Linked DNA regions of Mus musculus. The protein of the gene in region 2 interacts with the protein of the main gene of each other region in a biochemical or structural test. Links are inferred from orthologs where the notes say so. Each region holds a gene or a part of one and is shown on either strand. Other genes may lie near its edges. The genes, in order: Yap1, Shank1, Cacna1d and Wwtr1.

The links.
Region 1: the proteins of Shank1 (region 2) and Yap1 interact in a test that uses a peptide from one of them, tested with the Homo sapiens proteins (2 studies listed by IntAct, with this or other methods). The link is inferred for Mus musculus from reciprocal best matches to the Homo sapiens genes SHANK1 and YAP1.
Region 3: the proteins of Shank1 (region 2) and Cacna1d interact in a biophysical measurement, tested with the Homo sapiens proteins (2 studies listed by IntAct, with this or other methods). The link is inferred for Mus musculus from reciprocal best matches to the Homo sapiens genes SHANK1 and CACNA1D.
Region 4: the proteins of Shank1 (region 2) and Wwtr1 interact in a test that uses a peptide from one of them, tested with the Homo sapiens proteins (2 studies listed by IntAct, with this or other methods). The link is inferred for Mus musculus from reciprocal best matches to the Homo sapiens genes SHANK1 and WWTR1.

Annotation. Positions count from the first base shown.
Region 1 is NC_000075.6:8,000,845-8,006,505, reverse strand, and holds the start of Yap1 (transcriptional coactivator YAP1), read left to right. Parts: upstream 1-1,909; 5' UTR 1,910-2,115; coding exon 2,116-2,391; intron 2,392-4,798; coding exon 4,799-5,049; intron 5,050-5,661. UniProt on the Homo sapiens protein: Transcriptional regulator with dual roles as a coactivator and corepressor. Critical downstream regulatory target in the Hippo signaling pathway, crucial for organ size control and tumor suppression by restricting proliferation and promoting apoptosis.
Region 2 is NC_000073.6:44,347,884-44,352,764, forward strand, and holds part of Shank1 (SH3 and multiple ankyrin repeat domains protein 1), read left to right. Parts: intron 1-2,712; exon of another isoform or gene 2,713-2,810; coding exon of another isoform or gene 2,811-2,840; intron 2,841-3,064; coding exon 3,065-3,161; intron 3,162-3,673; coding exon 3,674-4,881. UniProt on the Homo sapiens protein: Seems to be an adapter protein in the postsynaptic density (PSD) of excitatory synapses that interconnects receptors of the postsynaptic membrane including NMDA-type and metabotropic glutamate receptors via complexes with GKAP/PSD-95 and Homer, respectively, and the actin-based cytoskeleton.
Region 3 is NC_000080.6:30,038,920-30,043,346, forward strand, and holds the end of Cacna1d (voltage-dependent L-type calcium channel subunit alpha-1D), read right to left. Parts: intron 4,168-4,427; coding exon 3,847-4,167; intron 3,448-3,846; coding exon 3,154-3,447; 3' UTR 1,022-3,153; downstream 1-1,021. UniProt on the Homo sapiens protein: Voltage-sensitive calcium channels (VSCC) mediate the entry of calcium ions into excitable cells and are also involved in a variety of calcium-dependent processes, including muscle contraction, hormone or neurotransmitter release, gene expression, cell motility, cell division and cell death.
Region 4 is NC_000069.6:57,474,297-57,479,177, forward strand, and holds part of Wwtr1 (WW domain-containing transcription regulator protein 1), read right to left. Parts: intron 3,261-4,881; coding exon 3,061-3,260; intron 1-3,060. UniProt on the Homo sapiens protein: Transcriptional coactivator which acts as a downstream regulatory target in the Hippo signaling pathway that plays a pivotal role in organ size control and tumor suppression by restricting proliferation and promoting apoptosis.

The DNA.
Region 1 (5,661 bases), on a different chromosome or scaffold from region 2:
ACTTGGTGTGAACCAATCCTGGAATCAGTCTTAGGGAGACATTTACCCTTCTTCCTCTCTAGGACAGGAAACTGAGGCTCCTAAATAGTTGATTCAAATCTTACCTGTCTGAAGCTAGCTCACCCTACTCTACCACACAAAGCGATAGACTGCTGCTCAGAATTCTTCCGGGCGTGTCTTAACTAGAGGAAGAGATTATCTTTTTGCTCAAGGGTCCTTTCTTTGCTTAATCCTATTTATACCCGTTTCACTCACACTGCAGACAAAATCATTAGAACAAGAAACCAGATTTCTGGAGAAGAAATTTGTGTGTTTAAAGTCAGTGTTGCACAACTCTGGGAATACACTCAAAAAGCACCAAACTGCTTAAGTGGAAGACTATATAGTTATGTCAGTTATACCTCATTAAAACCAGTTCTTGTTTTGTAGCTCATGACTTCAACAAGGGGCTGAGGAGAGGGCCGGTCACTAAAAGTACTGGTTCCTAAGAAGGCTCAGGTTCGAATCCCTGTACCCACGTGGCTGTTCACAACCAGTTGTACTCCAATTCCATGGAATCTAATACCATCTTTTGGACCTCTGTGGAACCAAGGCAAAGACATAAACTCAGGCAAAACACCCAATACAAAATAATTAACTTAAAAAACACGAACAGATTTTTATCATTTTTGGAGTGATTCCAGATAGGCTCCTGATAGATAAAAGACTGACACACAGAGAATCAGGGGCTAAGGTAATCTCCATTGAGGTTCATTTCTTAGTCTACCCTGCATTGTTTACCCTTGTACTAAACACAAGAGGAAAACCCACAATGCTCCATGAGGTTAAACAGTGACTTATGTTTTGAGTTGAAGTTCCCAAAGAAATGTCAAGTTTTGGTGTTAAAAAATTGACTTTTCACTTAAAAAAAAAAAAAGTTTGCTGAGCAAGGTGCCCCACATTTGTTATTTGAGCCCTTTATAGGCTGAGGTAGGGGGAGCAGAAATTTTAAGCTAGCCTCAGTTATGTAGTGAATTGGAGGAAAGCCTTAGCTACATAGGAACCTGACTCAAAACAGCAAAATAGGGTAGTCAACATGAGATGGATGGTTCAGGGTACCTGAGCTCGATTTCTGGGACCCACAACCAAGAAGAAAACAGATCCCACAAATGGTCCTCTGACCTTCACCTGTGCTCACTTGTACATAATTAGAAACACAAAAAGGAAGAAAAAGGAAGGAGAGGGAGAAAGGGGGAGCGGAAGGAAGGAAGAAAGAAAAGAAAAAAAAGAAAAAAGAAAAGAAAAAGGACGAACCTATGAACCTACAAAAACCGGGCTAGCAGAGGCCCTGGCTTGGAATCCTAGCTGTCTGTGGAAGCTGTGGCACAAAGAGTTGGAGGATATCCTTGACTACAGAGTAAAGCCTGTTTAAAACAAAATTTAAAAAGTAATACTGTTTCCTTTTGTAAGGTACTCCCAGTGCAACTCCTGGTTTCCAAGCTTCACTTTGAAATCATTTGCACCCGCCCTCAAGTGTTTTGTTGTTTCTTCTTCAAACTTGGTGGTAAATGGAATCAATGTTAAAACGCGGACCGGATTAACCTTAGTGCGGGTGAACAGTGTGGCCTTTGCATCCACCCTACCAAGCCGGTTGTCCCGATTCCTCGCGGCCTTGGCGTTGCGCGCGGGTCCGGCAGGATCTGCGCCCGCAGCCGAGCGGCTCGGGGCCGGCCGGTGGGTGCGCACGCAGCGCGGTCGCCCCCGGGTCACGTGCGGCCGGGAGTCTGCAGGAATGTAGCGACGCGCAGGGAAAGTTTCCCCGGGGGCCGCGGGCCGCGGATTCGGTGCGGGCGGGCGCGCAGAGGAAGGAAGAGCGTCGAGGAGGCGGAGCCCGCGAGGCGCGCGGGCGGGCGCTCCTCGCAACTTTTTAGTTTGGGCGTCTGGAGCCAAAGTTTCTGTCTCAGTTGGGACGCCGCCGCGGCCGGGGGCAAAGAAAGGGAGGAAGGAAGGAGCTCGCGGAGGGGAGGGGAGGAGAGGGGAGGCGGCCTCGGGCAAGGAGTGCAGGGCGATGCGGGCGCGCGTCGCAGCCCCCCGAACCTGAGCGCAGTGCCCCGAGCGTCGAACGAGGCCGCAGCCATGGAGCCCGCGCAACAGCCGCCGCCCCAGCCGGCCCCGCAAGGCCCCGCGCCGCCGTCCGTGTCTCCGGCCGGGACCCCCGCGGCCCCGCCCGCACCCCCGGCCGGCCACCAGGTCGTGCACGTCCGCGGGGACTCGGAGACCGACTTGGAGGCGCTCTTCAATGCCGTCATGAACCCCAAGACGGCCAACGTGCCTCAGACCGTGCCCATGCGGCTTCGCAAGCTGCCCGACTCCTTCTTCAAGCCGCCTGAGCCCAAGTCCCACTCGCGACAGGTAAGGGTATCCCGGGGGCGCGGGGCCGCGTGGGGGTGCGGTGCTGGGGGTTGTTTTCGCGGAGTTGGCCGCAGGGGGGGTGCACAATGCGCGCGCCTCCGCTCCGCACCTTCGCTCTGACGAGGGGGAGGGGAGGAGGGGGAGGGGGCCGGCGTCTTGTGCGGGACCCCAGCCGGGGGTACCCGATCTCCCCTTCCCGCGCCACTGCAGTCTCCGGTGGAGCTGTGTTAACTGCCCTCTTGTTTTCGCGTGCCGGTGAGGGGTGGGGGTTGAACTGGTCCATTGAGTTTCTGGTTCCTTCTCCCGGTCCCCTCCCCCTCCCTCTCCCGAAAGCTTTTCTGTTCTCGCGGCCCAGGCGCTCTCCGGATGCAGGGTTCGGGCTCCCCAGCCCGAGCGAAGCTCCCTCGACCCCCCACTCGCCTCCGCCGTGCCCTGGAACTCGCGCGGGCGGGATCCTTTCACACTCGGTGGGCTCACGTGTCCTTTTCCTAAATCGTAACCTATTATTTACTGTTCGGCCCGAAAGCTTTTAAATGAGCCACGTCTGTGTGTTGCGCAGGAGCTCGGCTGCGCTCACGGTGCAGAGGTTTCTGCGCCGGCCTTTGATAGCGCGTTGCAGGTTGACTCATAGGCCGAGTTCTGCCCGGCTCAACTGTGATTAAAGGTAATGTTTGGGAAGCAATGACTAATTCCAAGCTCGCCATTGCTCTTTAACTGACTGCGGATGTGAACATGGCTGCTTATCCGTATCCACGACGCCTGGTTATTTTCCCAACTGGATCCAGCACAGAAGTGAAACCGTTTCAAAGTATTAACATTCCGATAGGTCCTGGTAGATTTCTTTAGTGTCGCTCCCCCCGCTTTTAATTACTTAATTTTTAAAGAACTTGCTTTAGGCTAAAGCAGCACAGGAACTTTGCCCAAAACTTAATTGGTTTTCCAAACACTGCCATGTCGTTAGCCCACTCGGGCTGTAACTTGAGTGGAAAGAAGAGTTGCCGCCCCCACTCCAGCCCCCCCTCCTAGGCAGGCTTGTTGTAGAACGGGGTTTTTGAAGCTTCGAAAATCTCGATTAACCTCCCTACAAAAAGCCTCTTAAGAAGGAAGGAAAAGTTATCTAGCTGCTCGGCTAAATAAACTCTTAATTTGTAACAACAGTAGACCTAGATACTATTTGCTCCCTCCCCCACAAGTGAGTTTCTGTACTCGCTGAACTAAACGTATGTGACATGCAATCGAGAAACCGCTGGGGCAACTTTGAAGGAATACACAGATTGAACGCTCCATTTTGTAGCACTTAGAAGTCAGAAGGAATGAACCCGGGAAAGTGTACTTGTAATACTGGCTTCCACTGGGCCGTTCGTGGGTACATTTGCATTCTCTCTAAGCGTTTTAAGAGAGCTGTTCGTCAATAAATTTACCTTTTCTGTGCGCTAATGGTTTCCTAAAATTCAATCTATCTGGAAACTCAAAAACGGGGTTTTCCTATGGGGCTTTAAATGACTGCTGGGTCTTTTCAGTTTCCTTATCAACATAAATCTAGAAAAACGTTTTGAGAAACCCTAATTCCAATAAAAGGATTGGACTGTGAATGGTATGTATCAGAGTTAGTAAATAATCATCCACAGGCCCCTGCCTGAGAAGTCTTCTAGCCCTATATCCTCTCGCTTGGAAAAGCTCATTTACACACAAGTTTATTCCTGACCCCTGTCTTAACACTGGTCTGATTGGACCCAAATTTGAATCATTGGGGTCTTTGCAGATTTTTCTTTTGTCCCTCACCCAGCTATTATAAGTGTGTGAATCCACAAATTATAATTGAATTGAAAAAGTCTTTCTCTAGGCACAAAAAGGGCTAGCCTATTATTCTCTTCATTGAGGAGCTTTTAGCATTGGTGCAGTTCTGAGAGTTTGAATTTATTAAATGTTGTATAATTTATAATGGCTGACTTATCACATTTGTTTACAGTCAAAAAAGTGAAAGATGGGGGAACATTAGACATTTACAACAAAGAAAAAAGTGCCCAGTCGTTCCCCAGGTTTTGTTCTAGAACCTGGAAAAGTAACCACACTGCTTAGAAAAGTACTGATTATTTTGAGTTATGTAGGATGAGCATTATTCTTTACCACTAAATAAAGTTATTATGCCTAGTATTTGTTGTTTTCACACTGTCTAGGAGGTAGACATTCATCCAGATGGACTGTTCATCAGTAAAATAACATTTATAATGCCTATTAAATTTTTGTAATGGTCTATTTGGTCTGGTGTGTTCCTGTTGTGTAAGAAATTAAACATTAAAGTTTACATTTGATACTTAGATATTTGGTTGCCGTGACATACTGTTTGGAAGTTAGGGGTAGGTGCTGTTGTCTCTATTGTTAATTTTCATTTTGCTATTCCTGATAGGCCAGTACTGATGCAGGTACTGCGGGAGCTCTGACTCCACAGCATGTTCGAGCTCACTCCTCTCCAGCCTCCCTGCAGCTGGGTGCCGTTTCTCCTGGGACACTCACAGCCAGTGGCGTTGTCTCTGGCCCTGCCGCTGCCCCTGCAGCTCAGCATCTCCGGCAGTCCTCCTTTGAGATCCCTGATGATGTACCACTGCCAGCAGGCTGGGAGATGGCCAAGACATCTTCTGGTCAAAGATACTTCTTAAAGTAAGTGAAGACAGCGCTGGGAAGAGGCAGTGTGGGAGTGGCTTTATTCATTTATTGTCTTTTTCAAAACAGTATTCAATTATTTATTACTTTGCTGTTGCTAAACATGGAACTCAGCCTTATAAATGGTAAACCAGCATACTTTATCATTGAGCTGCACCCCAGCTCACTCGCTCTGTGTGTGTCTCTCTCTATACACACACACACACACATACACACACACACATATGCACACTCTGTCTCTCTCACTCTCTCTCTTTAGGGTTGGTCATATCTTGAAAGCCTGATTTATTCTTAGTTCAGAGCCTTTTTGCAGACTTTTGTGGCAAAATGAGATAATTTCATTTTGAATTTGTACCAGATTTGCTAATTAGCCTGGCACAAAACAAAACAAAACAAACCACCAAACCTGGCATAGACATGTGTTCTATTATCTCTTTTGTGTGCCCCCCATGTTTGTGTCCATCTGTTTCTGTGTGTGTGTGTGTGTGTGTGTGTGTGTGGTGGTGGTGGTGGGGGGGGGGCTTTAAACCAGGACCTTGTGCATTCTTTCAGCATAAATGATTGGTAGAGAAGGGAATATAGGGACTTAGGGAAGAGATGACGTTACAG
Region 2 (4,881 bases):
CATTGTTGGTTATCTGCTGTGCCATCCTGCACACAAGTACAGAGTATTCCTGTATTTGTTTAAGATGAAAGAAAGAAAAAGAGGAGGCAGAAAAAGGAGGGAAAGAGAAAGAAAGGGCTGAAGAATGGAGGAAGGAGAGGAGGGAGGCAGGAAGAGAGAGAGAATCTAGGACAAAGAAGAAAGTGAGGCGGGCAGGGATGGGAATGGCAAGGGCACTTGGGCCTTGCAGCAAGCTGTGTGTTCAAATCCTGGTTCCTCTCCCTACGTGGTTCTGAGCTATGCTACCTCATCCCCAGTGTGCTTCCTACTCTGGATAATTGGTTTGGATCTGGCAGCACTCAGTGGAGTCAAATGCGGTCAGCTCCAGTCCAACAGGGCTCTCAACAAACTGGCAGTCCTCTTCTGTGTGCGACTGTGCCAGCCCTCTGATCTCAGCCCAACACCATCCTCAGAGTCTGACAGCATGGCCCCCACACTGTCCTCCGACAGCCTCAGCTCTCATCCAACCCGTCTCTTATGCGTGTGTGCAAGTGTGTGTGCGAGTGTCTGTGCACATGTGTGCATGTGCCTGTGGAAAGCAGGGGCAGTCTTTGGTATCCATCCTCGGGCACCAATCAACTTGTTTGTTGAACTCTCTCAAAATCAGAGACATATGGTGTGTGTGTGTGTGCGCACGTGTGACATGCGTGTAGTGTGTGGTGTGTGTATGTGTGTGTGATGTATGGTGTGTGCCATATGTGGTTATGACATGTGTGGTATGTGTGCACCATGTATGGCTGTGGTACACGCAGTGTGATGCATTCTGAAACCAGACCAGGACAGGTATTTTCCTCCCTCTACCACTGTCTGGTCCCCATGAGACAGAGTCTCACTGAAGCACAGTTCACAGTTTTATCTAAATTAGCTGTCTATCAAGCGCTAGGGACCCACCTCTTCCCCCTCACCACACAGGCACCCAATGCTAATAATACAGGCATGGACAGCCAGGCTTGGATTTTTATGTAGCTTCTGATGATTTGAACTCAGGACCTCATACCTGAAGAACTAACTTACCCACCTAACCATCTCCCCAGCCCCTCACCCAGTCAGAGTGTTTTCCCTTAGTCTGCAAACAGTGTCCTCCCCTCAGGCAGGGTTCCCCTCAAAACCTGCTCTTCTCCCTAGGAGCTTTTTCTGACATTCTCATTACCTCACCCTTCCTCATTCAGTTCCAGACACTCTGACACAACTTCTTTCACACTAATCTTTCTACTATGATGCTCGCCCCTCCCTTTTACTACTTCCTCTCTCCTGCCCACCCCCTCCTCCATCAACATGTTCCTCTCCATTACATGGCCCCTCCCCCATCTCCCTGGCCCCTCCTCCATCGCATGGCCCCTCCTCTATCACCACAGTCCGTCCCCCATCTTTCTGGCCTCTCCTCCATCACATGGTCCCTCCCCCACCACCATGGCCCCTCCCCCATCAGCTTGATCCCTGTAAGGAGCCTGTCCCCAGACTCTCATACTCTGCTGCTCTAATGGGATAACAGGCACTTAAACTGTCCCTGGGTTACTTGGGACCTGTGAAAAGCACCCTCCACAGTGTCTCTGTCTTTCTAGGGTTGGACTTATTTTGTTTTCTTGCATGTTTTGTTGTTTTTCTGAGACAGAGTCTTATGCCGTAGCTGACACTTCCTTGAATTCACTTGTAGACCGTGCTAGTCTGGAATTCATGGTAATCCTCCTGCCTCAGCTTCTCCAAATGACAGGTTCCATGTCATACAAGACTCCATGTTCTGTTCTCTAATATACTTATATCCTGCCTTTCATACAGCCATGCCTTGTGGAAGTGTCCTTGTCAGTGGAATGAACAAGACAAACACAGAAATAGACAGTTCTAAGCCAGGTAGGCCAGTGCAGCGACAGGGCTTTTAAGACCCAGGAAAGCCTTGAATTCCTCAGACTACCACTGCCCTCTAGAATAGTCCACACTTCTTGTCCTGTATGGAGTTACAGTCACTCTGGATTCAAACACAACCAGTGTTGTGGATGGATGGATGGATGGATGGAATGACAGACAGAAGGAATGGTCAGTGGAAGAAGATGATGAATAGAATGATGGACAGATAGAATAACAGATGAATAGCCAGACAAACGAAATGGTGGATGGAAGATACACGGACGGAATGATGGATGGATAGAATGATGGATGGATGCAATGACAGACAGTAGAACAGTGGGTGGATGGTCAGACAGATGGGTGGAAGGATGGATGTGTGCAGTGATGGATGTGTGGAATGATGGACACGGGAGCAGACAGACAGATGGAATGATAAACAGGTACAAATGATGAATTGACAGAACAATGGATTGGTGACCAGACAGACAATTTTTTTTTCTTGAATGAGTTGAAACTGGGGCTGGAAAGATGGTTCCATTGCTAAGAGGGTTTGCTGTGTCACCATGAGGATGGGAGTTTGGGTTCCAGGCTTGGATAGCCCTGCAGCCCACCCACTTCCCCCACATATGCAACTCTAGCTCTTGTGCCTTTCTCCGGCCTCTATGAGCCCCTCCAGCATGCGCGTGCGCGCGCGCACACACACACACACACTTTTAAGTCTGACGTGAGCTGCAGCTGCTGGGAATCAGAACTGGGTCCTCATGTCTGTATGTGTGGCAAAGCGTATTACTGACTGAGCAATCGCTCCAGCCCTGATTTCTTTTTTGAAAGATTCCGCCAACTCTGGAAAAGAGACCAGAAAGGAGTGAAGGAGAGAGGAAACAACAAAGCCAGAGGGGTGGCTGCCACCACAGGCCAGAAGAGTGTCAATGGGACCTGGGTACAGGCCACGACTGCAGGTGGTACCTGCTTTAGTGGGACTGCTCGGCTGCCTGCTTTTCTTTTCTTTCTCCTGACTGCTTCCCCAGAGAATTCTCCCAGGACTTGCTTTCTAGCTTCTGTGTGCCTCGTCTCTGCCATGAAAGAGCTCAGAGGAGAAAGTAATTTCCTTTTGGAGTGTGGAGAACTCTGACTGATCCCTCTTCGCTCTCTTTTCTCTCTTCCTCTAACTGCTGCCCCGAAGTCGAGCTTTGATCCTCACCACCGCTCCCAGCCAAGTTATGACCGGCCTTCTTTCCTGCCTCCCGGACCTGGCCTTATGCTCCGGCAGAAATCTATCGGTATGTCCCCCAGAAAGGACCGTAGCCCAGGGGCAGGAGAGGACTGTCTAGGTTTGGAAATGTGCTGCAGCACCACATCCGACCCTGGTTAGAGGAGGTCGGGTTTGGATGAATTCCAACTTTGCTTCTCGCCTGCGGGACTGCGTGGGTGGTCTCTCGGCTTCCTGACCTTCATCTAGAAAACCGGGGTCTTTGGTGTCCAGAGGAAGGATTGTTGGTAGCATGCGGGTAGTAAGTGGAGGCAGATCCTTGTTGAGAGAGAAGCTAGCTACTTCCTAGGCGTCTCTGTGTAAAATAATAGCCTTTTCTTCTTCTCAAGCACGCTTTAAACTCGCTCCAAGTCACCATTATCATGGATTCAGGCCTTTGACTAATTAGGAAATGGCTCCCCCTCCTGGCCAGAGGGTGAAATTCCACTGAATTTCTCTTGCGCCTCTGCTGTTGTATAGCTTGTATGCAGAAGGAGCTGGGCCAGTCCCTAATTCCTCCATTGGTCTTACGTATCTCAACAGGGGCTGCGGAAGATGACAGACCCTACCTAGCACCCCCAGCCATGAAATTCAGTCGTAGCCTGTCAGTCCCGGGTTCAGAGGACATACCCCCACCACCCACTACATCCCCACCAGAGCCGCCCTATAGCACACCTCCGGCCCCCTCCTCTTCCGGCCGCCTCACTCCCTCGCCTCGGGGAGGGCCCTTTAACCCTGGTTCCGGGGGTCCCCTTCCCGCCTCCTCACCTTCATCTTTCGATGGGCCATCTCCTCCTGACCCCCGTAGTGGGGGCCGAGAGAAGAGCCTATATCACAGTGGCGCCCTACCCCCTGCCCACCACCACCCACCTCATCACCACCATCATCACGCCCCACCTCCTCAGCCCCACCATCACCATGCGCATCCTCCCCACCCACCGGAGATGGAGACAGGAGGTTCCCCCGACGATCCCCCACCTCGATTGGCTCTGGGACCCCAGCCCAGCCTTCGAGGCTGGCGAGGTGGAGGACCCAGCCCGACCTCGGGGGCCCCATCACCTTCCCACCACAGTAGCAGCGGAGGCAGTAGCGGTCCTGCTCAGGCTCCCGCCCTGCGCTACTTCCAGCTGCCCCCGAGGGCGGCCAGTGCGGCTATGTACGTACCAGCCCGCTCCGGCCGCGGTCGCAAAGGCCCGCTGGTCAAGCAGACCAAAGTGGAAGGCGAGCCCCAAAAGGGCAGCCTCCCTCCCGCGTCCTCTCCAACATCCCCGGCGTTGCCTCGGTCCGAACCACCTCCGGCCGGGCCGTCGGAGAAAAATTCCATCCCTATCCCTACCATCATCATCAAAGCCCCATCTACCAGTAGCAGCGGCCGCAGTAGCCAGGGAAGCAGCACAGAGGCTGAGCCCCCCACCCAGCCCGACGGCGCGGGCGGCGGAGGATCCTCGCCTAGCCCTGCACCTGCCACGTCCCCTGTACCGCCGTCCCCGTCGCCCGTGCCCACCCCTGCGTCACCCAGCGGCCCGGCCACCCTGGATTTCACTAGCCAGTTTGGAGCAGCCCTAGTGGGCGCGGCGCGGAGGGAGGGAGGCTGGCAAAACGAAGCCCGGCGGCGGTCCACGCTATTCCTGTCCACCGACGCAGGAGATGAGGATGGAGGCGACAGCGGGCTGGGCCCGGGGGCGCCCCCGGGTCCCCGGCTGCGCCATTCCAAATCCATTGATGAAGGCATGTTCTCCGCCGAGCCGTAC
Region 3 (4,427 bases), on a different chromosome or scaffold from region 2:
CATGTTGCCAAAACCAGTACCTGCACACCTAGCAAGCATGTGCCCCAGGGTTGACCCCTAGCACCAAAAAGAACTGTGGGGAGCCCTGCTGTGTTGATGGGACTTGGGCCCACCTCACTGTTGGCCAAGTGTGTTCCTGACAGGGTCACAGATCATGGATGGAGACAGGGACAACTTGCCAGCATGACCAGACACAGTCATAGAAGCAGAAGGTGGGGACACTGTAACACATGAGCCCTGCCTCATTTCCATACATTCAAATAGATTCTTCTCACCCACCATACTACATCCCTCAGGCCCCAAGATTTTTCATATTTCCACTTATAAACTACCACAATATCAAACCTAATGCAAAGATTTTAATCTTCAAATTTGGAGGGGGGCGGGGAAAACATGACCTACCTCCTAGGCCCAAGCTGGTGACCTGCGAAGCCCCTGCTGGCTGGGCTGTTGTATATTCAACCACACTCTTCACCCTTGTTCTGAAATCAGAAGCCAGAGACCGAGCCTCTCCCTAGGTCTCCACTGCCCTCTGGGAAAGCACAGCTGGAGTGGGTTTTGTGAGAGGTGCCCATGATTTGGTGGTGTTTGTACAAGTAAACCAACACTCCATCCTCCCCAAGTAAAGGCAGAGCTGATAAAGATCGTAGATAGTAAAAAGCACACAGCACAAAATAGAGCCGATCTGGCTTAAGAGCTGGACCACTGTGAAGTGGGTAGTGCACCCCAGCTATGCTCTCTTCAAGTGGCTAGGGCTACACCCTCAACCTTCTAGAACTATGGAGCACAAGTCCACATACCTCACAGACCATCCCAAATGAGGTTCTTGCTGACGGTGAGCAGATCATAGTGACTTCCACCTTTTAATGTCATTAAAAGCAGGAGCTTAAACTAAAAGCAGCATTCCAAAGACCTCAATATCAGGGGGGGGTGGGGCAGGGTAGGAAAACCAAAAAGCAGAACTATTTAGTCTTAAAACTTCCTTAAAGGGGAGGAAAAAACCATGCTCTACAACTTCAAATTTTTCTTACAAAGAGAAATTTAATATTAAATGAGAGGTTGAACCAGGCTTAAAGCAGACATACCGGGAAGGACAGCCTGAAACGCCAGGCAGCGTTGACAGCTGACTTTGGGAACGATCACCCATTCCAGAACACACGTGAGTGTGATCTGCTGATGTTACGTCGCACAGTCAGACAGACAGACAGACACCCAGCACGACAGAGTCCAAGGTAAATGCTGATGGTAGTTTAGCCCTTTAGGAGAACAGCACTCTGCAGCTGGTGTGAAGTTACTATCGGTCTCGGAGACCAAGGGCGGAAAAAGCCGCCCGAAGCTCCCCCAGTAGAGCCAGCTGTGTGAGGAGAGCTCCCCATATGATGACATTATACAGAGTTTATTCTGAAGAACGTTTTGCATTTTAATAAAAAAAAAAAGGCTTTATGTCAGGAAATAGTCATTTACAAACCTTGAAGTGTTTTTGCCTGCATCTGGAGTAAGAATGTCTTCCGAAGAGGTTTGCGAGGTCTTTATAATAAAATTTATTTACAAAAAAAAAAATTGTTTCCACAGGTTGTCTGTGTACTAGTTAAAAATTTTGAACCCAAATTGCTACCTGTATTTTTGATTGCAGAGAATCCTTAGGAAAGTGATGGGATGAGATCTCATGATGCTGACAGGAAATCTTGACAGTTCTAACGATTCCAAAGCTAACTGTCCCCAGGTGTGCAGTCAGAGCGCTTGTGTTCTCGTGAAAACTTCAGCCCTTGCTCCGCTGTGTGTGACAGCTCTCAAAGAGAATCCTGCACAGCAGCTGTGAAAGGCGACAGGACTCCACAGACCACCTGCATTCACAGGACACCACGGTGCTCCCCTCTCCCCTCCTGTGGTATACCTCCTAGATCTTAAGCATCCTTGGGGATGTGAGCAGACGTGGGCAGCTCATCTGTGCAGCTCCACGTCAGAGACCCAGAAGCATCCTGCGTGGGCAACTGAGGGAGCCAGACCAGTGGATGCCACTGGGCCGAGTAGCCAGCTGGACCTGCTGCATAACTAACTGACCAGAGGGTTGTGAAAATAAAACCAAACCAAAGTCAACGGCAACCCATGTGGGTGGGAGGTGCACTATAAAATCATAGAACCCAAAGAAAAGACTGCAAATTAGTCAACTTGATATCTTACGGAAAGATAGGTTTATAGTAACTCAAAATATTTTAGAAAAAAGTTCTGAAGTGCCAAGTTCTTAGGAACTCAAAAGTTTATCCCCAAAGATTCTTTTACTGAACATGTGAGAATTGGCTCTAATTCTCCTAATTCTTTTTAGCCCAAGTAAAAATACTAATAATTTCTAGGTTTGGGTGGGAAACTACGATTGTTAGGACCCGTGGATATTGCTGCAGTTCAAATACGGTACGATAATTACAAAATATAGACCATCTCTTTACAAATACAAATTGTATATTACAAGTCATGTACAGTAAATCTATAATTTTTAAACAAACTAAACGTATCTAAGTTTTACCTGGTTTGCAAGTGCGGTACTCTTCCAGTTTACAGTTGCCCTTAATGTGACAGAACTGACCGTCTGAGTGATGGTCTCTTATGTAAACTGGCATCGCTTAACAAAACGATCCGGTCCCACTCCCCTTGTCGTGACCACTAGTGGCTGGGTTCTGATGTGTACCATTCAGAACAGCTCCACAGAAACCAGGAACCAGTGTGTTGGGGGAGGGGGCTCAGAAATGGATATGCCAGGCCCAGTGGGTGTCTGATATGCTAGACCAATGGTTGAGGTAATGACACAGGCGTGGTGACTGTCATCACCTTTAACCTCTCTCATGTCTGCAGGCAAAGGGGCATGGGCATGCACCCTGGATGGGAGACACCAACTCCTGGGCAGCCCTCTGGCCTCTGTGCAGGCCAGATATACTGTCTTCTGAGGCCGGGCCTGAGCATGTGACATAGCACATGCCAGGCCGCTCAGAACCTGCTCCTACCAGGTTTATGGCTTCCTTGAGGCATGAAATCACTTGTACAAAAGTCTAATTGAGCGTTTTTCTCCCAACTAGTGCCTAAACTTTCCTAATTATGAGGCACTTTATCCCTGGCCCTCCCGTGCCCGTCTCTGGCTGGAGCCAGCCTGCCCTCACTGGGCTACAAGGTGGTAATGCAAATCATCTCATCTGCCAGGTCCTCTTCCTCTCGCCCAGGGTCTGGCTCCTCGTCACTGTAGCCAGGACCAAAGTCCTGGAGCTCATAGTCCTGGCGGTGGGAGATGGGGCCCATGTCCCCATTGGCTCGAGGACACACACTGCCATTGAGCAGGGTGCTGGCAGCACTTTCCATCTCGTCTATGGTTAGGTCACAGGCATCGGCAATCTCATGTTTTGTCGCTGAGACAAATTTGGGGTCCCTCGCGTAGCGTCCCAAGCCTTCGGATATCAGGACCTGTATAGGAGATAGATCGATGGCATGAGGGAAGGTCTGCATCAGCTCTCAGTGCGCGGCATGCTCTGGGGACGCTGTCAGCCATGCTGCTAAACTTTATACACGATGCTAACCATAAATGAGCTCAGCTCTGTTGGTGTCGAAAGCTGAGTGGCTCCACAAGGCTGAGCAAGAGAGAAAGCACTGGGGACGTAGCACAGACTGGCACTGCAGGATGGGACTCTCTGGTGGGACTTGGCAGTGCCAGCTGGTTTTCACTCAGGCCTTAAATGCTGCCGAGAGGCCACCCTCGGGTGGCAAGGCTGCAGAGCCCACCACTGCCCCCTCCCCATGTGATCATGGCTCTGTTTCTGCTGCCACCTAAGATTTGTCCAGAGGTCAAAGGCCACCCATACTCACTGCCTCCACCAGGCTGTCTGCACTCCTCTGCTTGTCGCTGTTCTTGTTCCGGAAGCTGCTGGGGACAGTCAGACTAGCTGGCGTGAAAGTCCTATAGGAGATGTCGGGTTCATCTGTGTACCAGGAGCTTCGGTGTAGGGATGGCAGGCTGCCATTGACCTGGTCCATAGATTCTGAGCGGTCCACCTGGATCAAAGGGGTGTAGCATGGGCTCCAGTCTCGGTATGGAGGGGTTGCTGGAGGGGTGGCCCACGACCGGGTAGAGTGGCTCGGTGAGTACTTCTGGGCTTTACTGGAATCTAGGCCTGCAACGGCCATGATCTGAGCGGGAGAAGCAGAGAGAGGTCTGAGCCTTGGTCCCAGTCTGGCACATGGCAGCTGTGCAGAGATGCTTCTCAAAAACCTGGGGGAAGATGCCTGTGTAGCAGAGGCCACTCAGTGAGCTGGCCAGGGAACCAGGGATTAATAAAAGACTGGGATTCCGGGCTGGTGAGATGGCTCAGTGGGTAAGAGCACCCGACTGCTCTGAGTACCCGACTGCTCTTCCAAAGGTCCCGAGTTCAAATCCCAGCAACCACATG
Region 4 (4,881 bases), on a different chromosome or scaffold from region 2:
CCACCAGGAAAAACCAGTCCTCCTCACTATAAATTCCCATTTGGTGCTAGAAAGCAGCTGAACAGGTGAACCAAAGGCCATTTTTTACTTTGAGTCTTTTCCTATCTCTACCCTGGTGTCAAGGCACAAATAGCAAAATGAAAAATCACCAGAAGAAAGAAGTCAAGAAGCCTTCCAGGGGTGGGCAGTATGGGTCGGTGGGTAAAAGTGCTATTCGGAGCAAGCTTCACCATCTGCGGCCAACCCCTCAAATCCCAGACTGGAAGGAGAGAGCTGACTCCTGAGGACTGGACTCTGACCTCCACGAGTATGCGCATACACACTAATAGCAAAAGGCCTGCCAAAGGGCTGGGGTAATGACTTAGCAAGTAAGAACAACTGCTGATCTTGCAGAGGATACAGGTCAGTTCTCAGCACCCACAAGATGGTTCACGTCCACCCTTAACTCTCGTTCCGGGGGAGCCAATGATCCTCCAAAGGATCCAGGCATGCCTATGGTGCACATATATGCATGCAACAACATTTACACATATAAAAGAAGATGCATCCTTTTTAAAAAATTGAAGCTGAGCAAGATGATATCCAAGATATTCTGGAAATATCCTCAGAAAACACTTTCATACCATTATTATATGGCCTTATTTATTACCTATGACTTGTAACGGGGACCATGCTGTTTCTGGATGGGTTTGGGGTGAGGAAAACAATCTTCCATGATTAATAAGTCTACTTCAGAGGGTTTTTCCTCCTATAATCCAGTAACAAAATTAAAGAGATCAAAACCATCCATACACACATACACACATACTCACTGGTACTCACATGCACATACACTACACACACACACACACACACACAGGAGTCAAAGCTAAGCAGTCATTGCCAGCCTTTCTTTTGCTGCACTGTGGGAAGGACTGGAAACTGGGATTCCCTAAAATGCACCAAGTTCCCCAGCTGCCACAGCTCAGTTCTGAAGGAACTATGTTGGCATTTCTGTAATATGAACCATCAAAACTATCCTTGGCTCAAAGGCACCTCCAGCTAGAATAAAGGAAACAATGCCAGGCCCTTTTCCACACCCCTTTTCGAAAATTCTTTCTGTGGGAAAGGAGGAGACAGGGCAAAAGAAAGGCAGAAGAGACGGACACAAATCACTCCTAACAAAAGAGTGACTTGAAGAAACACACACACACACACACACACACACAATCATTTAAATACAAAATGATTTATAAATGCTAAATGTATAAAGACAATTTATAAATGCTAATTCACATTCTATTTCCAAATAAGAAATTGACTGATTCCACATAGAAATATCCAAAAATGGAAAACAACAAATCATATGATTATCTCCTGCCAAGAAACATGATAGGCTATATCTAAAAACCTTAATAAAAATTGTTACCATGATGCAGCCAAGAAAGCGAAAATGTAGATTCTATGAGTAAACGTAGTAACTATAGCTACTTAATAGTCTTCTTCATTAACTTGATATTCATTTCCCCTATTTTCAAACACTGCATCTGAGCTGTATTTGATGAGCAAGACATTACTATTGATAAAAGATGTATAGATTTTAAAATAACAGCTGTAACTTGAGAAAGTCTTTACAATACCCCTATATTCCCTTCCAAGGATACTCTCTGAGCAGTTAAAACTATATTTTTAACAATGGCAAAAAGGCTCAAACTCAGCCAGGTGTCTTTTTTTCCTCCCTCCCATATCCCCTTCTTCTTTGCTTCTCTGTCTTTCTTTCTCCCTCTGTTCTGGGAACAAGAACCTTGAACACTCTAAGCAAGTACTCTCCTATTGAGCTATGCCCCTAGCCAACTCTGGGGCCTCAAACTCTCATCCCTGAGTGGGTCTTCTGAGTTATGGATTGAAGCCATGCCTGGCTTTTTTATTTTGTTTATGACATACAATGCTGAACCCTCAGAAGATATACAGCAGTTTTCTCTTGACCAAATAGGTGAATAAAGAATAAATATTATGGGCAGGATGGCACATCTTAGTCCCAGGATTTAGAAGCTGAGGCAAGAGGATCTTTGACAACAGGACTTTTCTTTTCTCTCCTTTTCTTTTCTTTTACAATGTATCATCATGTAGCCCTGGCTGTCCTGGAACTCACTCTGTAGACCAGGCTGGCCTTGAACTCACCAAGATCCACCTACCCCTGTCTCCCAAGGGCTGGGATTAAAGGCATGTGCTACTATGCCCAGCTATAACAAGATAGACGTAAAAGAAGAAAAGTCTAATTGATGCCCGTGCAGTTTTGTAGAGTATTCTGATCAAATCCACATCCAAACCAGTTTTCCTTCTCATTCTGCTTTGATTCTATCCTTTTTCATACTCTATCATCGAACAAGATGGCTGGCTACACGGGGCTTGTTTTATGGAATGCCTGCCTACTGTCTCCTTTAATGAGGGAAAGGGGACAAAGCTGACTCCATTTCTAGAACCAGACCCTAAGACACCGGCAGCTTCTCTCTCCCATCTCTTTCTATCCTCTCTTCTGGAAGATCGCTGTATAATGTCCTGGTACTCTTGAGATTGTTATGCTTCCTGTAATCCCAACTAAGCCCAACCTGCCAGCAATACTCACCACTAGCTACATCCTCCTGGACCTTGCAAACCACCCACCAGTTGACTACCGCTAAGTAACCTCAAGTCAATGGCAACAGAAGAACCACCTACCTTAGCCCTTTCTAAATTTTTAACCTACAAAACTGTGATTAAAGTAAATGACTATTTCAAGTCTCCGAGTTTGGGGGGATAACCTGTTGACAAAGTAACAGCTAATTGGAAGATGTTCTTTCTCAATTTTTCCTTTCTCTCTTTTTAAACACTATCAATGGAAGGCAAGGCAGCCATGCCAATATAACCATGCCCATGAGCTAGTTTAGCTCTTTAGCTCCTAAGGTTGGCCCTGAAGATAGTTCAGGCAGAGAGAGTTGGGAGAAGAAACTGGTCTGTGAATATGAGTCTTTGGACTTATCTTGAAAGCAAACAGCCACCCAAGGCCACAGAATCTCCAGCAGGTACCATGGAAGACCATACCTGCCTCATGAGCTCCTCTTGACGCATCCTAATCCTCTCTCTCTCCATCTGGATCCTCTGAAGCCGCAGTTTCTGCTGCTGCTGCTGCTGAGTGGTCAGTGCATTGGGCACACTCATGAGCCCTGTGGGTTGGTTCTGAGTCGGGTGGTTCTGTGGACTCAGGCTAGTGGCCACGACTTGCTGGTGTTGGTGATTCATTGCTACAGAAGGGAATAACGAACAGATCAATGACCAAGGTCTATGACACCATATCATAAAGAGACCATCAGAATGCTTTGTGCTTTGGAGTATAGAGTCCTGAATTCCTTTCAAGCATTTTACCATTAATTATTAATTACTATTTAACAATTATTCCCTTAATTCAATTCATGAAGGTACAGGTTCCAGCTCTACCATATCCAGTATTAGTTTTCTGTACTGTTAAACATCTTATGTCATATGTTTCCCACACCTGGAACACATTTATATTACACTTATTTTGTGTATGTGTGTGTGTGTGTGTGTGTGTATACACAAGTATGTAGGTTTTTGTGCTCATGCTTGTGCATGTGTGAGCCACATACACGTGTAAGCCACAGTTGCTTCTCTACTTCCACATGTGGGGCCCACAGTTGGACTCAGAAAGCTAGGCTTATACCAAGTACCTTTACCCACTGAGCCATCTCACAAGCCTGAGCCTCAAATACATTTTAGACATAACATAAAAAATAATCGTCAAAATATGTCGCTTTTTGTTACACGTTAGAAAAAATGTTTCACCAGGATACCCAGGAGTGCATGAACTTTTCAAACACCCGGAATAGCTGTAGCAGCATCACAGAAGGCATGTAATCAATTCTCAATATCCAATGGCTATATAAGAATACTCAGCATGAATGGGTGAACTGAGAGTAACAGGGAAAAAACAAACAACAAACAAACAAACAAAGACATCAATCATAAAAGAGGCCCATTTCATACTTTCTTAAGAAAGAATAACTCCTGGGATGGGAAGCATAGCTCAGTTAATAGAGTACTTGCCTAACATGCAAGAAGCCCTTGGTTCATCCCTAGTGTCGGATAAACCTGGAGTGGTGGTGCATTCCTATAATCCTAGCACTCAAGTGTGGAAACAGAGAATCAAAATGCAGAGGACTCTTCAGCAATACAGCAAATCTCAGCCCTGTTTGGGCTATATGAAACCCTGTCTTAAAATGTACAAAGGGGTAGGTGAGGAGGCCAGGCAGTTGTGGCATCCACAGTTAATCCCAGCATTGGAGAGGCAGAGGCAGGGAAGGCTCTGAGTTGGAGGCCAGCCTGGTCCACAGAGCAAGTTCCATGACAGCCAGAGCTACACAGAGAAATGAAATGAAATAAAATAAAATAAAATAAGGAAGAGCTGGAAAGAGGACTCCATGGTGAAGAGCCCCATGGCAGCTCTTCTAGAGGTCCAGGTTTCCAGTACTCATGGAAGTTTATTACCATTTCCAGTTCCAGGAGACACAACACCCTCCTCTGACCTCCGCAGGCACCAGGCATGAATGTATGCTATGAATGAATATATGCACAGGCATATATGCTAGTAAGTACCACACACACACACACACACACACACACACACACACACACACACACACACAAATTTTGAGAATACTTTAATCTTCAGTTTGGTGTGGATATCATGTGGAAGCATGTCATATACCTGAAATTCCTTAGATAAAAAGACATCGTGTGTCTAAAGCATGTGTAACAGATGGGCAGTCGTCCCAACTCAATTGCTAACCTGTGATGTAAGGACCCTATGGAACCTTATGGGCATTTCTCCCACCCTTAGTTTCAGAA